Nothobranchius furzeri: one gene and its partners. The protein of the gene in region 2 purifies or fractionates together with the protein of the main gene of each other region. This does not show direct contact. Links are inferred from orthologs where the notes say so. Each region holds a gene or a part of one and is shown on either strand. Other genes may lie near its edges. The genes, in order: srpra, srprb and rnf185.

Evidence for each region.
Region 1: the proteins of srprb (region 2) and srpra purify together in Homo sapiens (affinity purification with mass spectrometry; 6 studies listed by BioGRID and IntAct, counting the BioPlex papers as one, with this or other methods). This does not show direct contact. The link is inferred for Nothobranchius furzeri from reciprocal best matches to the Homo sapiens genes SRPRB and SRPRA.
Region 3: the proteins of srprb (region 2) and rnf185 purify together in Homo sapiens (affinity purification with mass spectrometry; 3 studies listed by BioGRID and IntAct, with this or other methods). This does not show direct contact. The link is inferred for Nothobranchius furzeri from reciprocal best matches to the Homo sapiens genes SRPRB and RNF185.

The regions. Positions count from the first base shown.
Region 1 is NC_091753.1:25,185,295-25,191,842, forward strand, and holds part of srpra (signal recognition particle receptor subunit alpha), read right to left. Parts: coding exon 6,519-6,548; intron 6,285-6,518; coding exon 6,201-6,284; intron 6,082-6,200; coding exon 5,918-6,081; intron 4,204-5,917; coding exon 4,043-4,203; intron 3,969-4,042; coding exon 3,809-3,968; intron 3,729-3,808; coding exon 3,581-3,728; intron 3,485-3,580; coding exon 3,354-3,484; intron 3,253-3,353; coding exon 3,131-3,252; intron 2,568-3,130; coding exon 2,481-2,567; intron 2,236-2,480; coding exon 2,063-2,235; intron 1,935-2,062; coding exon 1,721-1,934; intron 1,510-1,720; coding exon 1,346-1,509; intron 63-1,345; coding exon 1-62. UniProt on the Homo sapiens protein: Component of the signal recognition particle (SRP) complex receptor (SR). Ensures, in conjunction with the SRP complex, the correct targeting of the nascent secretory proteins to the endoplasmic reticulum membrane system.
Region 2 is NC_091753.1:42,152,565-42,160,043, forward strand, and holds srprb (signal recognition particle receptor subunit beta), read right to left. Parts: upstream 4,600-7,479; 5' UTR 4,380-4,599; coding exon 4,238-4,379; intron 3,974-4,237; coding exon 3,879-3,973; intron 3,802-3,878; coding exon 3,724-3,801; intron 3,639-3,723; coding exon 3,556-3,638; intron 3,362-3,555; coding exon 3,225-3,361; intron 3,113-3,224; coding exon 3,058-3,112; intron 2,710-3,057; coding exon 2,496-2,709; 3' UTR 1,920-2,495; downstream 1-1,919. Other genes in the region: wdr53 (WD repeat-containing protein 53), read left to right, coding at 503-996, 1,068-1,700; col26a1 (collagen alpha-1(XXVI) chain), read left to right, coding at 5,421-5,593, 5,705-5,824, 6,132-6,235. UniProt on the Homo sapiens protein: Component of the signal recognition particle (SRP) complex receptor (SR). Ensures, in conjunction with the SRP complex, the correct targeting of the nascent secretory proteins to the endoplasmic reticulum membrane system.
Region 3 is NC_091746.1:52,067,911-52,075,389, forward strand, and holds rnf185 (E3 ubiquitin-protein ligase RNF185), read right to left. Parts: upstream 4,703-7,479; 5' UTR 4,609-4,702; exon of another isoform or gene 4,340-4,608; 5' UTR 4,279-4,339; coding exon 4,094-4,278; intron 3,255-4,093; coding exon 3,236-3,254; intron 3,148-3,235; coding exon 3,035-3,147; intron 2,910-3,034; coding exon 2,855-2,909; intron 2,540-2,854; coding exon 2,422-2,539; intron 2,338-2,421; coding exon 2,240-2,337; 3' UTR 1,605-2,239; downstream 1-1,604. Other genes in the region: transcription factor Adf-1, read left to right, coding at 787-1,490; chemerin-like receptor 1, read right to left, coding at 6,417-7,438. UniProt on the Homo sapiens protein: E3 ubiquitin-protein ligase that regulates selective mitochondrial autophagy by mediating 'Lys-63'-linked polyubiquitination of BNIP1.

The DNA of each region.
Region 1 (6,548 bases), about 17 Mb from region 2:
CCGTCGATCAGGCGTGGCTTGTCAGACATGGAGTGGTCTGCCAGCGCCTGATTGAACTTTACCTGAGGACAACAGAATGATGCAGGTGAAATTTGATCAGGACGCGGCTGAAAAGGCCGGTGATGTTTATTTAAAGGAAGGGGAAGGGAGGCACACACACCTGTGTAAACACAAACTAATCAACAGAAAAACAGCTAAAAGGGGGTGATGCTGACCTCTGCTGGACAGTTATCATAAGGAACCCAAAACACTCAAATCTCTATTCACTGCCGTCACCATGACAACAGTCCAACAATCTCAGGGATATTGAATGATAGCCTGGTCTGCCAGACTCAACAAGGTAATGAAACTGTCCTGGATTGAAATGATGGGACCACCGATTTGCTGTTTGTGAGAATCGTGTAATTTCTGGAACTCCGTGAGACATCTGCACCACTTCTCAGGTCATCTGGTTTATTCTTCAACAGCAAACTGCTCCAACTGTCTCAGACTGAAGGGTTCCAGATGTTTCAGCTCCTTCCACAGATATCCAACCAGATTCAGATCAGGACTCATAGAACGTCACTTCAGAATAACTCCATGTGTGGTTCTGAAGCATTCTTAGAGGCTTTAAAGTGTTTTTGGTTGTTATCCTGACCGAGGAGAGGACCCAATACAGCGACTGAGACACTGGCGTCCTCCTCAGTCGTCTTCTCTCTGGCTCAAACAGGGATTGATGGAGTGATCTGACAATGATTAGCCTAGACTTTGGAGTTCTAAGGTCTTTGGTGACCACTCAGTATCCGTGTCTTTAGTTTGCCAACAAGGTTTGGACTGTGTACAGCCAGAGAGATTAACTACAGACCTGTGGGCCTTTAAACCTCTGAATAATACACGCCTGTAACCATAGAAACATCACACTGTTTAGAGAGGATCTTCTAGCCTGTAGCTGCTTGGACACGGTCCTCTAGCCTTCGGTGTTTCATAACCAGTGTGGTACACACCCCGATACCAAAAGGCACGGTGACTTCCTCACAAATGGCCAGTTTTATTTTGCTTTGTTAAATCCCAAATTAAAAGCATACATTTTTAATTTGTAGTAAATTCTATTTATTTATTTATTACTTTTGCCATTTTCGAGGTATTTCACCGACCACTGTGATTTTCTTTCAGTGAGAATGTACCAATGATTTCATCCACAGCCGTATATAAACGATCAACTATCAGCAGTTTGGTTTTTACTGGAAAACAAGACGTTACACTTTTTAATAAACTTCCCGAATGGAAATCTGTAACTACCCATTTGAATTTAGCCACCAACAGAAATGCGTATAACCAAGTCATTTAAGATTATCGGTGATCTTACCAACTGATCGACTGCCTCGTTGCCCACCAAAGCTTCCCCAACAAACAACACTAAATCAGGCATGTTGACTGCAATGAGTTTGGCCAGAGCTGTCATCAGCGGGGCGTTGTCCTGCATACGCCCAGCGGTGTCCACCAGCACCACATCAAAAGCCTGGTTGCGAGCTAATGGAGAGGCAAAACAAAAGAGGGACTTTTACCAACAGCCATGAGAGGAAATCACTGATTCATTATTGGAGATTAATGACTCATTGGTAGATAAACCTAGCCTGACCAGCCAGCCCCATGCTTCCTTATGGGAAGTTCTCTGTGTAGACAGAGGACGAGTCTGGCAGGCCAGGATGAGATAAACCAACAAAAGGGCTAAATATTTTACCATAAGCAATGGCCTCCATAGCAATCCCAGCAGCATCTTTCCCATAGCCCTTCTCGTAGAGCTGGACCACCGGACGTCCTCCGTGCTTCTCCGGGGGGTGCAGCGAGTTCAGGCGGCGTTGGTGAGTACGAAGCTGCTCTACAGCTCCAGCACGAAAGGTGTCACACGCTGCAATCAACACGCTGAAACCGTTTTCTATCAGCCAGTAGGAGATCTGCACCAGGACAGGGAGGAGTTTATGCTCGTGTCCACACTAGCCCTCAGTCACTCACTCAAGTCCTAAACAACTCTAGAAATATAGACTCCAACAAGCTAGAAGTACCATAAAACCATCAAAGTCACCTTTGCCAGGTTGGTAGACTTCCCAACTCCGTTGACACCACAAAATGTGATGACGAAAGGCCGGCGTTGACTCTGGGCCTCCATGACGTCTCTCAAAATGTCCACCCTGCGTTTGGGCTGCAGGATCTGCACCAGAGAGTCCTGCAGGGCCTGCTTTACTGTTGAGGCCACAGCTACACACACACACACACACACACACACACACACACACACACACACACACACACACACACACACACACACACACCATTTGTTAGAGACCATAACTATAATGGATTGACATAAAATGTGATCACAAACTGGATCTGATGACGTCACAACAGACCAGCTTTATTTAACTGAGATCATTGTTGTTGTAAAAGAGTCTAGATCCAAAAGGTCATTCTTAAGTTGTGAGCGGGGTAAATGGGGTACTTACTGGTGAACGTGCCCATGACTTTGCCCTCCAGCTTTTTGGCAACAGAGTCACACAGCTGGGAGGCGATGTCGGCCGCTACATTCTTTGCTGTGGAATCATAAAGACAAACAAAGACCAGTTTGAGTTTAGGGGGAATGTTGTTTTGATATTTGGACTTTTAGACACTATAAACCCTCAATTTTCAACCTGACTTATCTATCACATGAATAAAAACAAGTGCAAACAGCATTGCTATTAAAACAGAGAAGAAGTGCTACAGGAGCCCAGATGTCCAAACAGGAAGTTGGTAAATAAAAAATGTGTTTGGTCAGCTGTTTGGAAATAGAACCATACAGAAAAAGGTTAATGGGTTGTGTGGGGGTCATTACTGATAAAAGGAGGGTGCATGACACCATGCCTGTGTGTTTTACCCTTGTTCTGCCAAAAAACAAACAAACACATGAGCTTAACTTTCAGAAGGGGCAAAATGCGAGTAATTAGAAAGGAATCATTTCTGCTGAGTAAAATGTGTTTTCTGCAATTGTTTGTGGAAGTTTAGAGTTAAAATCAAACTCGAAATAGAATTTTGCTCAACTGCTCAGCCTTGATTAGCAAAGAATGAAATGTTGCAGTCTGCAGAAGTCAAAGAGTGGGTGGAAAAAAAATCTTACCAATGAGGTGGTCTCTCATCTTCTCCAGCACTGGCTCCATGTCATCCCGGGACAGGCTCTTGGAGCCCACCAGTCCCTTCAGCATCCCAAACATCCCCCCAAAACCACCACCCTTTTTAGGGCTTTTGGGGGGGGGGGGGGGGGGGGGGGGGGGGGGCAGAAGAAGAGTTAACAACTGAGATTTGACAATTTATTTTTCAACTATAAAGTAAAAAAAAAGTACCTTATTTTGCTTGTTCCCCTAATGACCACTTCTTCCTCCTCCTCCTCTTCTTCCTCCTCCTCCTCCCCGTTCTCGCTGGAGTCGTAGTCCACAGACAGCAGGTCTCCTTTCATAGAGCTGACCTGCATTTCCTAAAACACATTCAGGAACTTTATTTGCACCCTCTTCATCGTGAGGGAAGCGGACGCTTCTGCTCCTACAGCAAGCTCTTTAGAGGTGGAACATACTGGGTCAAACTGTGCTTCCAGATTCTTTTCTCCATCTCCAGAACCGGCTCCATTCTTGTCGCTGTAGTCCAGGTTCTTGTCACTGCTGCCAGCATTGTCCCACACGCGCTTTTGTTTCTCCTTTGGCTTTTGAGGCTTCGGGGACTTTCTGTAGACAAAACCAGAAAGCAATTAAAAACAAGATCCTCTTTTCTATCTGACTTTAAACCTTTAATTAAGCTGCCATACTTGGGTTTTTCACACGTTCCCATGCGTTTGAGGATAAAATCCTCCCTTTTCTTCAGCATGATTTCCTCAGGAGTCAAGCCCTGGTTGCCGTTAACAACCGTCTTCTGGTCAGCAGCTGTGATCTTGCCTTGATCAGCTTTGATAGGCTCAACTGCAGGAGCTGCAACACATTCGCCACTGAATGAAGCAACGAACCAAACATGCGAACTACAACTCGTAACAAACAGCACTCACCCTCCTTTTTGGTATTTTTACTCTTTTTACCACCTTGCTCCTTGCCCTTGTCTCCACCCTTAGTCTCTATCATTGACTTCACAGTTTTTTGGGACTTCTCGGACTCCTTAAAGGACCTCATGGGGACGGGGCTCCGAGCTTTACTGCTCTCCTCCGCCAGTCTTGTGTTGGTTGATTTTGGTCAGGACAAAGAAAGACTTAGTTTAGTGAAACACATCATTTCAGATGATTTTACATCCGGTTAACACATCCGACTGTCTGCTGGCATAAAATACTGTCTCAGCTGAGGCATCCATCCTTTCCTCACCTGGCAATAGCGATACTTTGTAAAGTTATCTTTCATTTGTCTTCTATGATCACTCAACCCTTTTCTGAACTTTCTCCACTTTAAGACACATAACCACACAAGACTCAAAGAGCCAACAATTCCTCCAGTGTCACATGGTTCTCTTTCTCTCTCGCTCGCCAACTTCCATTCAGACTTTTATCTTTAGAGACAGTTTATCATTTAAAGCCTGACACATGAAATATTTGAAACATTTTTGACTTATAAAGGGGTAGATTTATAAGTCCCCACCAGTGTAAAGAGCTAATCTACACCGATGGTCTGAAGGAGGCTATGAAATCACAGACTGATGATGACCTGGCTTTGTTGCTACTAGACTTGTAAGTCATAATAGTTTTTGTCCAACAGAGTTTTGCTTCATGTTTCCATTTAGTAGCAGTTGCTAATGTTAGCGCTAGCTACAGCAGGCTGCAGCAGAGTTGTTTACAGCAATTACAATTCTGCTTTCAACCAGTAGGAGGGAGAAGCAAGGAATGCTATTTCAGCTGTTAACTTTATTTTTTTCTCTAAGTGTTTTTCTCCCCAGAAGAAGCCACGACGATGTTCTGCTGAGCTGTGGTGGCCTCGTGGAGGGGGCCATTGGCTTGAATACTGCTGCTAACCACTTAAACATTCTCCCTCTCCTGATAATAACATTTTACTTTCTTTGACATTGGATGTGCTACTACTAGTTTACCTGTTTAATTATAGATTCACTAGGATAAATACAATAAAGTTTACCTCTCACCAAATAGAATATTTACTAAGAAATCACAATGTAGCCATAGAAACACTACTTGGGGTGTGTGTGTGTGTGCCTGCTCTGTCTTCTCGATCCCCAGTGAGTCGTGGTGGATGGCTCCTTATACTGAGCCAGGATCCTCTGGAGGTTTCTTCCTGTTAAAACGAAGTTTTTCTCTCCACTGTCGCTAAATGTTTGCTTACTATGAGGATTGCTGTAAAGACACTGACACTAGTCAGTGACTCGATGCAATTTGCTGGGTTCCTTATATAGGAAACATTTTACCGATTGGCTTAATGAACTGACCTGGATTGGAATGTTTACCATGTGAAGTGCCTTAAGACGACTCTAGTCCTGATTTGGCGCTTTATAAATAAACTCGAATTCAATTGAACTTGAATTGAATGTATTGCTGCTTTAAAATCTGCTGTCAGCACTTGTAAAATACCACACCACAAATGTCAGACTGTTTTTCTTTTAGGGGAAAATGAGCAACCTGGAGTAGCATGTGTTGGAGACAATCAGGAACCTGATCAGCGGGATTCTCAAGTATTTTCCACTTTTGAAACATTAACTCTGACCTCAACCGATGTCGTTCCTTTGATTTTGAACATTGCTAGACGTTTCAGCCTACTTTGTTCTGTCAGGCAGGTCATATTAAAGTAGTTTCTTAATCTTACAGGTCTGATGGTAATCAGGTCTAGATGTAGCTGGAAATTTCCTATTACACTAACTGGACCAGGTTAGTTGAAAGGACCCTTTTACACTCAACAGAAGCTGTGTGCAAAGTCAGATTGGTCTTGTTTACTTGAGGAGTTCGCTGAATGCATCTTCAAACGCAAAAGTGCTGTTAAGAAGCTTCAGAGTGCCCTTTTGCTCCAGCTCATTCTTATAGCGATCCCTGAAGTGAAGCTGGACGTCATCTATAAACTTGTCCACGTACGTCAACGTGAGGATCTTCTGAAAACCCACCTGCACACAGCAGCACACCACAAGGCTGAAGTTAGAATGACTTACCATTTGTGGAACAGTGAAATTAATCATAAATACCGGGAGATGGGGAGTTGGCTGGATGCTCATCAGTGACTTACCACAAAAATCAACTCGAACTCATTGTCCAGTTTATATTTGAGACTAAGAGCTTCATGGGTAAATGAATTGTTCCCGCCGCGCTCCTGTAGAAAGACAGAAATGAGCTCAAGATGTGGATGTCTGTATCTACTTAACATTATTTAGAAATCCGCTTTCAAAACGAAACGAGAAACATACGCAAAAAAAAACTTGAAACGTGTTTACTCCACGGCTAAAGCTAGTGCTAACAGTTAGCATTAGCTTAGCATTAGCTCTAAGTGACAGTTTGATGAAGATACAGGAAGGGGGTTGAAAGTGGACCGGTCAGCGTGGGTTACCTGGAGGATCACCGAGCGGATCAACGCGTT
Region 2 (7,479 bases):
TGTGGCAGAGTTCCCGAGTGCAGCAGTGTCTGCAGCTCACCGCTCCCCACAGGGATGGGTCAAATGCTGGGGAGAAATTTTGCCACACCAGTGTGTGTGACGTCTATTGGGACTTTAAATTTTAATCAAGCTCGGGGTATACATAAATCAAGTAGGTACGATAACCAGGGGCAGATGAATCCAATAAACACTTGAAAATGGAGACAAGAGCAGATCCTGACAGTCTTTTTTGTGTGTACAGTAGTAAATTGTTGTTTATTTAAATTTCTTCCAGAAATCTACAGTATATTATAAATTAGTGACTGGGATCAGTTGTTCATATTTATAAAGTGAAGAAAAGTAGTGGACACTTTTTTATGTAGTTTTATTTATTCATTTTTTCAGTTTTTTTGTTTTTGGTAGTAAAATACAGTTTTTTTTTAAGTCCTTCTTGGTTAAATGTAATGTTTGTCTTTATTTTAGCATGCTACGTTTACTTTTCTCCTGATTACATTTCATGTAGGCAGTATGGCCAAGCAGTGGTCGGAGGGCCATTCCGCCTCCATCCTTTGCGTCAGTGCGTCTTCAGGCCCAGAGGGTCTCCTTGCTTCAGGTGCTGAGGGTGGAGAGGTGACCATTTGGGGTCAAGATGGTGGCATCATTGGCCGTCTTACTCTTCCTGGAGAAGAGGATATCACCAGCGTGATGTTCTCACCTGCAGGCCCAACCCAGCTGTTTGTGTCACATGGGGACACGGTGAGCGTGCTGGACCCCAAGAACCTGAAAGGACCTGTGGAGGATTTTCAGGGAGCAGGCGAGGAGGAGATTAATGCTTTAGCACTGAATGAAACCAGTTCTGCCTTGGCAGTGGCTGATGACTCTGGGACGGTGCGCGTTCTGGAGGTTCCTGGTGGGAAAGTGTGCAGGACTCTACGTAGACACACAAACATCTGCTCCTCAGTGGCCTTCCGTCCTCACAGACCCAACAACCTTGTGTCTGTTGGGCTGGACATGCAGGTGAGGGAATCATGTTTGTTTTCAACCGCTGCACAAAAACTGTAAACTAGAAGAGTTTGTTTTTGATTCAGGTGATGCTGTGGGGTCTGCAGAAGACTCGCCCTCTTTGGACCATCAACCTCCAGGATGTGGCCGAAGAAGACGGCCACCAGCAGCGTCCGGGCCAGCTGTTTAACCCACCACTGGCCCACTGTGTTTCTGTGTCCAGCTGCGGAAACATGTTGGGTTGCGCAGCCGAGGACGGCCGGGTGCATCTGATGCGGATCGGCAGTGGCTCTAAATTAGAACAACACGGGGCGATCAAGGCACACAGTCAGGGAGCTTCACAAGCTCATTTTGTTAGTTTCCTTTCCCACCCTTACTGGCTGGTCACAGGAGGAAACGACAGCCACGTGGCCCTGTGGGACCTCAGTAAGCACCCGGTTGTGTCTCCAGAGGGAAAAACTCCAACAACAGCTCCTCAGCGGAGGAAAGGCAAGGTCAAGAGAAAGGACCAGACTCTGGATAAATCAAAGCTGAAAGAAGAGGCCAAGGTGGAAGATGAAGCATCTGCAAATGAGGAAGAGGAGTCTGGACCCAAACTGAGCATTAGTCATGGGGACAAAGTGAACTGGTTGTGTCCTGTGGTTCTGAAAGGAGAACCAAATGTGATAGTGGCAGATCAGAGTGCTAATCTAACGGTCTATCCGCTGTCTCAGCCATAGATTTATGTCTTCTTCTGTTGACTTGTTGGATTATTTTAACACTCGGGACGTCTGAGCAAACAGAACACCACAGATCAACAGCAGACAAGAATCACATAAATGTGATGTGAATGAAACATCAGTCCTTAACATAAAAACACGCTGTGTGGTATTTTAAACATGTCATCTCGTAAAATAAACCATTTGTCTCACACTAATTACATTTAAAACAACCACATCTGACTGGAGAAACATGTTTTTAATGTTTAACTGAAGTTTGCAGCTCTTTTTATAGAGTGACAAAACTTCTGAATCCACACCAGATGTCAGAAAACAAAAGCTCAAAGAAAGCTGCTCTAGAAGATATTTGAACACAGCTATTCTAACAAAAAACCCACATCTGTCTTGAGGGAGACACGTTGCTTAAAACATACACAACTTGGTTGAAACGTAAACGCTTGAGGAGAAAACGTATTTTTTGTGCTTAAATGTTAATCAACCTGTCTCATCTGTTTTTTTTTTTATTTAATAAAGAAGTTTGATTCAAACTTAAGCGCAATAAACTTATGTTCTTAAATTCACTGTATTCATATATAACACTTTCAAACAAGAACACTTATTCTGCAAACTTAACATTTTATATGAATAACAAAGACTGAAATGCTGCTCGTGCTCATCTATTTTCAGTGTTTCACAGCTCAGACAAGCTTTAAGTAAATCTGATTACTTTTACACGAGGACAAATGTCTTTACGTCGGGCAGGGTGACCCGTCACTCCTGTTGAAGTTGTACGCCGATTGTGTCTCGCTGCTGATTTTATAGCTTAGCCAGGCTCTTCTCCAGGCTCTCGATGTCCGCTTCCCCCTCTTCACCTTTGCTGCTGCTCCGGGCGCTGCACTCCAGGAACTCCACCCTCATGGGCAGTTGGCTGAACTCAAAGTCCTTGCCTTTTTTCCCAAGATACACGCTGCCGCCCACAGAGCCGTCTTGAGCACTCAGGGCTGCCGAGCGAGTCACTCGCAAGGTGTTTCTGTCAGAAAAATGACATTCTCAGAATTCCATTCAGCAGTTTTAACCCTCAGGAATGAGTTTGATGTTGACTTTGATTTGTGTAATGGCCAGGAGATTTTTAAAAAGTGCTGTTAATGAGACTAAATGGGATATTTATTTATCCTCAACGACTAAAGAGGGTTGTGAATTTTTTTGTCTGAAGCCACTCAAAAACAATATTTTGTCTAGAATTACATCCTAGAAAGATTGCAGCATCTCCCTCATTCGTGTATTTTTTAATAAATGTGACTTCGCAATCTCTCTTAAAAGAGATTATAACAGTTGTGCTAAAAATAATCAGGAATCTGATCAAATTAGGTTTACTTACAGCTCCTTTTCCAGTTGATGTTGAATCAGTTTAGCTGATTTGGCCATGGTGATGTCTATCAAAATAAAAGCAGCAGAAGAGTTTCCAGTTTATAGAAGAGCGGTTTAGTTTGACTGACGCAACGAGGTGATTTAAGTTGTTTATTTAAAGTAAACAGGTTGTTTCACCTTGTTTGTTGCACGCCACCAGAAGAGTCGGGGCGTTTCTGGAGATCACGGTGTCCGTCAACAGCATGTACAGAAACTCTGCCACGTCCCTCACTTCCTTCTGGAAGATGGCACTGTCTACAACAAACACAATGGCTCTGCAGAAAGAAAGGGTAAGATTTTAGAGTGGTGATGAGAATGGGCTCATGAGGAAATAATTAGGCTTGATTCTTTTTTGGTTTTAAATCCTATTTAGTGGAAAAGAGTTGTTGCATTGCAACAAAACTGTGCACAAATATGCTAAAAGCACCAATGAAGAGATTACTGAACCATGCACTTATGCTGTTCTCACCTGGCTGAAGACTTGAACTTCTCCAGGTACTGAAACCGGAGACTATCGTGTCCTGGCAGGTCAATCAGTGTCCAGGAGCTGCTCTAAAAGTTATGGACAGAGCTGTCAATCATTGTCAACCTATAATAACAGTTTTATGCTTTGATGCAGAAGGAAAAGAAGACTTACCCTTTCATTTTTAGCTCTGTATGGCGCACTACTGTCAGTGATGGATGTCTGTGTCCGCTTGAACTTCCCTGACAGCAGCTGAAACAAATAAAACACTTTTAATGAAAAGGAAAGACAGTGCTAACGTGGCCATGGTGGTCCCAACATCAACTCACCCTAATAAACAGGAGGGTTTTCCCAGAGTCACATAATCCGACCAACAGAATGGCACTCTGGACTGTTTTACTGGTTAGAAAATACTTCAGGAAAACTAAAGAGGAAATGTGGAAAGGATTGTTATTTATTCAATATTTTTATTAGCTAAAACCGAAGTTGAATGACTCCTTACACTGTTGCAGCTAAGAGATATTATTTTATTGTTCTTGCGTGTTAATTGAGCATTTTGTAAACACACTGAAAACGTTTTTTCCAGCTTTACTGAGAAACCCGCTTTGAAACGGCATGATACTAGCCTACACGCTAAGGCTAGTTTGCTAAAGCTAGCATGCTAAGCTAACTTACGGTTCCTTCTTACCGCAGGTGATGACAACCACCGCTAAAGCTACGATTACTCCGATCAGAATTACTGGGTCTTGGTCTTCAACTTGCTGACGGAGAGATTCAATAAAAGGCTCAAACGGGTTTTCAGGTGAGTCCTTGTGTGTTTTTTCGCCCATGTTTCCACTGCTGCTGTTCGTAACTGAAATTGGACACGTCTGCTTCCTGGAGCCTGTGGCGAGCTTGAGTGAACAGCAGAGGGCGCTGCAGAGCTGCTGCTCAATAATAATAATCACATAAATATAATAAGAGTTTTCTCTCGGAAAAAATGAATATCACTTTCGATTTTATTTTGTTTTACTTTATGAACATTAAGAAGTAAGAGACATGTTTTTTCATGTTTTTACAAATCCATTTCCCCAAATAAAAGTATGAAATATGTGATAACTCTGAGATAATAATTCAACTATCTATATTTTTTGGAACGTACATTTTAATAGGAACATACTGTAAAAAAGATAGCTTTCCCCTCTTAAACTAAGTAGACATTGTAGGCCTCACGTGAAGGGAAGTGAAAAGAGATTATAAATAAAAATTCAGCTTTATTTCTGAGTTTGGTGCATTTATTTATTATTTTTATTTTTAATAATTGTAAATCATCTTAAACTGTATTATATGTAGCTAAAGGCGAACTACCGCATATAGGTTAGATTTTATTGGAGTCCTTTTGAAAAAGCGAACAGAAAGTGTTTTCTAGTCCTCATTTATTCCCAACCTTGCCGATGTTTCTGTAGAAGACCTCATGTGAAAACAATCAAGGTATAAATGTGAAACAGACTAAAAGCATGAGTTTTGTAACATGGAATCTTGTTATTTTATTTTTGTTTTCAATTGAGACCAGATGCGTTTTTACGCACGTCTCCAGCCCTCACAGTCTGCACGTTTTTTACGCACACTGGATATTTGACTCCTCGGTTGGATGTCAAACGTCAGAGAGAAGTTATTCTATAGGAAATGGCTGAGTGTCCTTCATAACGGGCTCTTGAGGGGGGCAGCTTGTTTCTCGTCGGAACAAGAAATGACAAACCCCCACTGATGGATTCAGCGGGATCTGCTTAGATTACTCCTCTTTGTGAAAGTACTGTAGTTTTTTCGTCATTAAAGACGGATTTACTTGAAAAACATCGACTTCTTTTGAATATTTCTGTCATTCAGAGAGCATGGCTTTGTCTTACCTCTACGCGCTGTGCGTGTGGGTGAGTTTAGTGTGCGCTTCCCTCGGAACTGGGTTCATCTATCACTTTCCAGGCATCAGCCTGCAGCGACCGCGCATCAAGTCGGAACAGAGCCGAACCACGGGTCCACCAGGTTCTGGATCCCGGAACCAACTCAGGTACACTTTTTATTTACACTTTCTGCAAACTCTGTTGGTGTTGAGTGGAGCATTTTTTTATCGCACTGGTTACTTCCAGTTGCTTTTGATCTCTTTCATTGTGCATCGCAGGAACTGGTGCCAGCACACCGTCTCCAGGACTGTTCCATGTAAAGTGCACAACGGGACCGAAACCTCCGTGCAGAGAGTGTTGGGCTGCAGATGGCCGGGACCATGTGCCAAAGTCATCAGGTACCCTCCGAGTCCTCACTGGTCTGCCCCCTTCAGCTCCCAGTGCTGCTGGTTTCCTGTTTACAGTCAGTTAGGGAAATGAAGCAGGGCTCCTTTAGTGATCAAAACACCCTGAAACTGTCATGAATCATTTGCACCCATTCTGAGATTGAAAGGGTTGATCTTAGCAGAGCTAATGCTGTGTTGTGTATAAACAAAGCTAAATCTAAAACAGATCTTTGTCACTTTGATCACATCTGTGCATTTAAGTTTGTGCACATCTGGAATTTCCCTAAAATATAGCAGTTTTTCCCCTTTGTTCTTCCAGCTACAGGACTGTCATCAAGCCATTATTCAAGATCACCTACAAACAGATCACCTCACTGGAGTGGAGATGCTGTCCTGGGTTTGTGGGAGATGAGTGTCATGAAGGTGAGTTGATCTTTTCCTTTTTTGGGACAATTAAGCTCATTTTCCTTAACAGGTTTTGTTTGTCGTAGCAGCAGTGGACAGCTTTTCCACCATTAGAGCCCTTTTTTTCATTTGATGGTGTCGGTATGGAGAGCTCACTATCACACTAGTGAAGAAATTCTGTGAGGATCTTAGTTTTGTAGGTTTTTAACCTTTCTGGAAGATGCCTCTTCTTCTGCGTCATCTTCTCTCTCACTTTTATCCCTCTTTTACAACACAGTCAGTTTCCTTGCCTCCTTGAATATCATCATGGCTAAAACTTCCCAAAAAAGGAAGGAACAAAATATATTTAAGGGGCAGCATCCTGAGGGACGGCTTGTAAAGTAGCTGGTTTCTCGGCACTGGGCAGCGCTGCTCCATGAATCCCACAGACCGCAGACTCTGAGCTGAAAACAGACTCGGAGGGTCGAGCCACAACGGTCAGCGTGAGGAAAATGAGCCGGAGTTGTGGCAGGAGATTCAAGGCAGGGCTGCTTTCCTTGCATGTTTTAAACATCACAGGGACTTGTAAAGAGGCTGAGTGTGTTGCTGACTGACATTATTTAAAATCCACGCTTGTATGAACTGTTCCTATTAAAATGATTCAGCTGGCCTGGTGGCTTTTTACAGACATCTACTGACCCATTCAGACGAGTTTTGCTTATTGGTCATATTTACCGCTCTGCTCCGTTTTCCAGAATTCTTCATTTGGAGGAAGGGATTTACCACGGAAACACATTCTAAGTCTAATAAAATAAGCACAGACACGAACACACAGCTGCAGCCATAGGATGTAATAACGCAGCTGTGTTGTTGGTTGTGTAATACCAAAGGAGGTGTGTGAAGAAGTAATCAGCTGTTTATCTTATGCCATTTGGTCTAAAGAGCATGAAGGAATGGTCTCCATATGAGACGAAGGGCCAGGCTGATGGGTGGAGGCAGGACGTCAGAGCAGATAGGAACCAGGTGAGGAGAAGTGTCAAATGATTCTGTCCCACAAGGTTCGAGCAGATGTAGAACGTCCAGACGGCTGCATTCAGAGGACACTTCCCCACATCAGGGTTCTTTGCAGCAAGGCTATTTAAAAACACATTTAATTAGTTAATAATAAGCTTCCAGAATGTTTTTGAAGACCTTTTTTAAACAAAAAGTTCAAATTTGTCCAGATGTAGTGACTTTTTTTAAATCCCAGTGGTACGTTCACTCTGTGGTTCAAATTATTCAAG
Region 3 (7,479 bases), on a different chromosome or scaffold from region 2:
TTGTGTGCTTTACTGCAGCTCAGTGGTGTGGATGTGTCCGCGCGCGCCGTGCTAGCGGTAGCAGCCGCTGCCCGCACGCCGTAGGCCGCGACGCACCGTCCGACGCTACCGCGAAGCTAGCCGCGGAGGAAGCAAGGAGACGTGCGGTGCGTCATGGGCCCAATAGTTTTAATGAACTACGTGTTTTTCAACACATGAGCCCGAAAATAGAAAACAGACGGTAACGGAGCCACGTAGGAACGGTGCGTAGGATAAAACATGGCAGCGCGACAGGACGGAGGCCCCCCAGCCTCAAACGGAACCAGAACCAGGAGCGTGAACTCAGGGCCAAAGAAAGGGCAACTACCACACGGCAACTAAACAGATTTAACACGAAGAAAAAAACGATGACCCAACATTAACAGTTATGTAACAATGCCGCCTGGTTTTTACTTAGGTAAAATGTGTTTTGCCTTTTGGCCCCAAAAAGATATTTAAACCCAGTTCACCTGAACTCACCACCACTAACTTTAGTAAACAGATTTTTTTTCTGGATAAACACCAAAAAGTTTTAAGATCGTCTCAAACCTTCCCAGACACAAATATTATACGTATTTGAAGTTTTTATCATTATAATTTGACTAAGATTCACAAACATAATCATCTGCTCACCTGTTTGATTTCAAGGACTACTCGATCACCAATGCTTTAACCACAGCATTAGCATTTCGAACCTCAGTGTGCATTGTATTGAACATCTAGGGTGCATTTTGTGCAGTAGGCTAACTTGACTCTTATCTTTTCAAGGTGATGCGTGCAAAAAAAGATGGAAAAATTTGAGAGACCGATACTTGAAGGAAGTTCGACTAGAGATCAAAACCAAGAAGCAGGGGGGTTTTGTGCAAAGTAAATGGAAATACCGACAGCTCATGAACTTTATTGCCCCCTTCACTGGATCGAGGGTTGGTGTGACTGACATGTGTGGCAACACCGAAGAAGAACGTAAAAACCCTGACAACGTATTGGGAAATGAGGAAACCACTCTGTCCGAGTCTGTCAAAACACCCCAGAATATCACTAAGGTAGCGCTGAGTCTGCCTGAGGCGAAGCCCCAGGTGGCGTTTGTGACGCAGCTTCCTGCTCTGTCTCAAGATATCCAGCTGGCCGTCGTAGCCAAGACCCCCCCCGGCCCACAGGTGATCCCGGTCAGCAACAACGGACAGAAACGAAAGATCATGTCTGAGCCGCCATCACCCTCTTCTCCTCAAAGTACACACTCCCAATCAAAATGGCTGTTGAAAGACCACACCACCTCGTTTTCGTCCAGGCCGCGGGACGAGGACGAACTGTTTCTGCTGAGCTTCGTTCCTGCTCTGAAACGACTCGCACCCCAGACCAGGTGCGAAACAAAGATGAAGATCCAGCAGATCATGTATGAAGCAGAATTCAGCACTTCACCTGATGAGAGTCAAGAGAAAAGGACAGCGGCAGGAACACAGGACAAATCTTGAACTGTCTCTAGCCTGCACTTTCACACTTTTGTAGAATACACAGTTAATGAACCCAAATTAAAATCACACAAAGCTTCACCGTCAGTAGAAAAAAAAAACTCACATTCGGAAACATGTTTTTTCCAGCAGCCATTCTTCATTTTGATTATGAAGTCTACAATATTTTACATATAATTACAGTGAAATACAGAAACTGGAGTAGAAATAAAAGATTATAAAGTCTGGAGACGAACACTGTTTGAAATAAAGTTCTTTGAATTTCGCTTCCATCTGAAAGAAGTTAAAAAAATCGGCTAAGATACTGGTTTAGCTTAGCTGCTATTGGCCAAAAACACAAAGGTATTATTGGTCATTTCTCCAGGAAACAAACATCTTAATCATTAGAATCATTAAGTTGCATTAAAGTTTTGTGCAAAAAATTATTTTTGCTTCACAATAAATAGCTGAAGATTCACAAGTCAGTGTCTGGTTGCTCTTGTGCAGATTACAAAGTAGTTATTCAACCAGTGAGTCAAAATATATATTTTTTTCATTAATTCATTTCTGAGATTTTTGCAGCAAGAAGTGAAGAGAATACACAACTTCCCGATCTTCACATGCATTTTTTCCTTCGGAGCAGCAAAAAGTCTGCAGCTTTAACCTTTAGCCTGTTCATTTATCATACCTGCTGTTTAAATGTCCAAACTTTGCCAAAGATTAAGAGACGGAAACCTCACAAAGCCGCACTTCTGTCATTTCCCCCCATGCATTTATGCAATCAGCAGCCAAAACATAATGACCAGAGCAGCAAACAGAAAGAGTCGAGACAGGAACTGTTCATCTGTGTGCTGCGGCGTCCCAGGAGCTGCTGTGTGGGTGAAAGTTCAACAGAAGTTACTGGGTAAATTGTTTTCATAAGAAATGAAAGAACACAGAGGAAATGTGTAACCACCTGGAGGAGGTCGTCCATCATTGATGTTAAAAGCCGTGGCAAAAATACCGAACGGGAAGGCACCGATTCCAAAGGACATCTGGAAACCTCCATCTCCGAAGCCAAATCCCTGAAATCCCTGCAGGGATTTTTAGAAAAAAATGAAAACGTGTCATATAACAAAGTAAGAAAAAAAAAGTGTGACACAATGAGCAGTAAAAGTTGTAGTGATTCTCATGAGGGGCTTTATCTCAGCTGTTCACTAGTAATGGGTCCCAGAGGGAAATGGCTTTTCAGTCATGAATAAAACAGGTCTAAACGGCAGCACCTACATCATTTTTGACTCACGGTTTCATCATGAGCTCATTATAATACTCTAGAGCTTACACGAAACTTAATGTAGTTATTCACAATGATGGTTTAACTGTGCAGATGTATTTGTTTGTGTACTTACACCACGGTTTTCCGGCTCTGGTCTCTGTCCTTGTGGTCGAGGGGGCGTCCTTTCCCTTTGAAGCATCAAATCAGATATACACCGTAAAACACTAACATAATGATAATTCTTGCACCACAAGTGTGTTAATGTAGAAGTGTGATGACACAATAAATCATGTCAACACTTTTTAGCATCTACCTAGGATCCTGTTGACCCGTGCTTCCCCTCCCATACAAGGGGATTACTTTGTCCCGGCTGATGCCAGCTTTACACACCGGACACACTTGTCTGTTGGGTCGAGTCTCCAACCACTGCATGAAGATAAACGGATGTTAACGAGTCAACGGGTTAGCTAGGGGAACATCTTTGTAAATGAAAAAAAATCTAAGTCAGGCTTACCTGATGCAAACATGGCCAGCTGAACATCAGGAGCAAATGAAGTTCATGGAAGTGAAAAAAAAAAAAAAAACAGGATTAGTAAAAAAAAAAAAACCACATTGGAAAATATTCATGAAAACAAACATTAGATAAACTGCTTGTCAAAAAAACCCCAATTAAGGACAATAAAAATAAACACTAATTCTACTTGAATATTTCATACTAATTCAAACATACTGGATAACATTTAAGAGAAAATTAACAAATAATTACTTTGTATGAACACTGATCAGACCACTTTGGCTGCTAATTCATCAGCAAATTTTTGGACATAAAAATGACTAAAATGTTGTTTTGAAAGAGATTCAAGGATTTCACAAAAACATCAGCTAAAAGAAAACAGATAAGTTACCTAATCAGCTAGTAAATTGGCAACTGCCACTTTATTTGACAAAATAAGAGGATTAATTAGATGTTCCAGAACTTTAAAAAAATGTAAACTTTTTCTGATTAGTCATATAAAATGAAAAACACTAAAAACAATAGTGAAACTGTATTCTCGTGCAATCTTCAAACATTTTTGCTGAAGCAAACTGTGAAATAAGTATTTTTATTATTGATGTTAGGAATATAAATGGCTCATAGGCGCCTCGTGATTTTTATCTTGAGAGGCGCTATAGAAATGATACTTTCTTCTTAGACAGACCTGGTAGAACTTAAAACTGTTTTTTCCGCACAGTTTAATTGAAGTGGTAAAACCGGAGACAACATTTTGGTTCATGCTGTACTGCTGAGTTTAGTTCACTTGTGTCCAGCCGCTAAAACTGAGGTGGTTTCTGATTTCACAATGTAAACATAAGTAACATATTTAAATCTTACCAGAAAAGGTGGCCACACAAGCTGATCACGGCATCCTTCGCTGTGTCCAGGCATATGTTGCATTCAAAGGTGCTGTCCTGGCTGCCTCCGTCGGCCGCTGCCGAGCTACTGGATCCCGGGCCGGAGTTTTCAGGAGCCGAGACGGTGGAGCCAGAGACTGGTGGAGAGGGGGCAGCGGCGGCCATTTATTTGCTAAAAGTCGGTCCAATATTCAAGCTAATACGGTTGGGATGGCTCTGTTCGTTCCTGTCAAACACATAAGAAAGTGACAGGAACTGACAGAAGTGGTCTCCCACTAAGAAACCTGAATAAAAGAAAGGAAAAGCTAACTTTGTGTCATCTGATAGCTATGCTACCGTTAGCAGCTAGCAAGCTAGGAGAAAGGCTAAACGAACTGAGGCGTAAACCGAACCACATATACAATTATTACAGTGGCTAAAGGAATATTTCAACATACATTTTGTAACATAGCCTCATTAAAACTTAATTATGACTTGTTGCGAAAATAGCCTTACAGCTGGTTGCAACACTTCCGCAGGGTGTTAGCCCTAAAAAAGAGTAGGACTAAAAAAAAACGTGGCTGTTTCTTTAAAAGGCGTGGCTATTTCTAAAGGGGGTGGGGTTACCTTGTGTCCGGATTAGTGACGTAAAGAAAAGTAGATACACAAAAACAAAAAACTTACTAATAGTTACTCTTGTGATGGAGAATGTTGCACAAACAATGTCTTCTCATAATTATGGAATTTATTGTTTCTGACATAGGTTTGTGAAGAAGTTGGTTGTAGACTGATGTTTAATTCCTTCTATAAGAGTGATTTTTTGCTTATGCGCCAAGATAATGTTTGTCTGAGGGGTATCCATAGACTGTACATACGGGGGTATCCCAGAAACATGTAGCTAGTACTGTTGCACGATATTAGGAAAACCTGCAATGCGCGATAACAGCGATTAATATCTCCATGATGATATGACTAGAAATAAACAAAAATAAATAAATAAAAATAAAAAATACAACGAAATAGAAAAATATAGAAAATGGGCAAAGCAAAAATTGTGATCAAAAGATGTGAGGAAAAAGGAAAAGACAACTAATAAGACAAGGCAATCAGTAGATCCTGGGAAAAGCTAAATCAGCAGAAAGAGCAAAACAAAGCTAACTTGTATGTTAGCCATCAAAGTCAAGTGTCGTCCGCCTAGGGGGCAGGCATCTAACCTATAGAATCCACCCGATATGCCAAATAGGTAAGGCTCTATTTGATCTGTCAAAAACATATGCTTCTGTTTGATTGACAAAATGCATTATGTGTAGCAAGCATTTGAGCTGACCATTTATTGTGATGTTTTCTGTTCATTGTGATACGTGTTTTGCACATGCCGATATCGCAATCTATTCTATCATGCAGCCCTAGTTGCTAGATGGTATATTGTTAATTCAGTCATAAAATTTAAATAAAACAAATAAGGGTTTTACCTTCTTTGCTCCTTTTGTCGTATCAAGAATGAAACTTTAAATCAGCTTTTTTGAGAATTTCTTTTGGATATTCTGGAATGATTTAACCCATTTTGAGCAGAAACTGATGTGCACCTTAAACTCAGAATTTTGCATATTCTATTTAACTTAGTTTTTAATTTTTAAAATTCATGTTTATTGACTATTTTAAATATGTCAGTATTGTTTCTAAGCAAAAACCAAGTTATTTTCATGAAAGATGTTACACAAATCCCAAAGCTGAGAAAAATAAATCCTCACGTATAGGCACAACCCATATTTGGTATTTTTTAATTTTTTTCTATGAGTTAAATTTCATCATTGTAAATGTTTATTGTAGGTAAGGCTTATTTTTAAAAAATCACAAATTTTATTTCGACACTATGTCTAAAAAGTAATTTTTGCTGATCCATCGCACCCATAAAGCAACAGCAATCACAGTTGGTTGTTTCTTTTCTATTTCTATGAAAACAGATACACAAATCAAAGGCACAATCTATTTTTGTTAGTAAATTATTAATTTACGATTTATAACATTAATTATAAATAAATCATCATAAATGCTGCCACATTCTTTTTTTTACCCTCAATTAGCAAAAACATGAAAAAAACAACATAAAACAAACAAAAGTCATTCACGTTGTAGAAACAGTCTTATTTCTCATTCCTTTCTTATTTATTGTTCTAATATACAAGATTAAAAGTTGTTTTCAACTCCGTTACAATAGTATTTGTTTTGATGAGAGAAACGGTTATTCTCCTCATCTCTAATAATTACATTTTAGGCACACTAAAGGCCTAATTTAAGTTAAAGACAAACGTATCAGCCTAATTTTAATGGATTTCCATTGACCTGGACATTGACTGGTTGTAACCAGCTGTACGCAGATCTTCTGCCATCGCATCCTCAAACCTTGAGGTCAGCGATCTCTTTAGAGTTTGATTGAAGTCACTGCCAATAAAAACGTAGAGAATGGGGGATATGAAGCTGTTCGACGCAGCCAGGGCGACCCCCACTTTCAGGCCAGATTCAAGCACATTCAGGCTGTGTTTGTTAAAGTCCAGCTCCAGGAGAATGAAGGTATGATAAGGGATCCAACAGAAGAAAAATGACAGGATGAGCGCCACCATGATTTTATAAGGCTTTTTTGATCTGATGGTTAAACTTCTCAGCTTCACTCCAAGCACCACACAGCAGCACACGATCATCAGGCAAGGAATTAGGAATCCAAAGACTAACCGAATCAGCGCCACTGCCTTGTGTCTGGAACGACTCCCATACTCCGTGTGGCACTGAATGATTGGACCGTGGACTTTGGTCTCCTTGAAGATGAGCGAGGGCAACGTTAGCAGGGCAGCGAGAAGCCACACGAGAGCGACCACTCCGTTAGCTTTCTTCACTGTCCGGTGATTGTGTGCCCACACAGGAAATAAAATCAAGATGCAGCGGTCAGCGCTGATCAAAACCAACAGAAACACACTGCTGTGCATGTTGAGAAACAGAGCGGATGATGAGAGTTTGCACAAAACTTGCCCAAAAGGCCAATGTGAGGTCATTATGTAGAATATGTCAAGGGGCAGAAAAACACAGAAGAACAAGTTTGAAACAGCCAGACTGGTGTACCAGGTAGTGAGGACTGTTTTGTTCATTTTCCACCCACAGATCCAAATCACTAATAGGTTTCCTACAAGACCAACAGCTGAGGTAATGATATCGACAGCCACAAGAAAATAGATCAAGGAGGACTGGGAGCTGCTGAAATCAGGAGCCTCGCGGTCGTCTGTGATGTTCTCTGTTTCATTGCTGCCTCTGTAATCTTCATAATCAACATAATCCAACGCCATTGTTGGTTTTTCTAAAATATAAAACAAAATATTATTGTTAGACAGCTACATA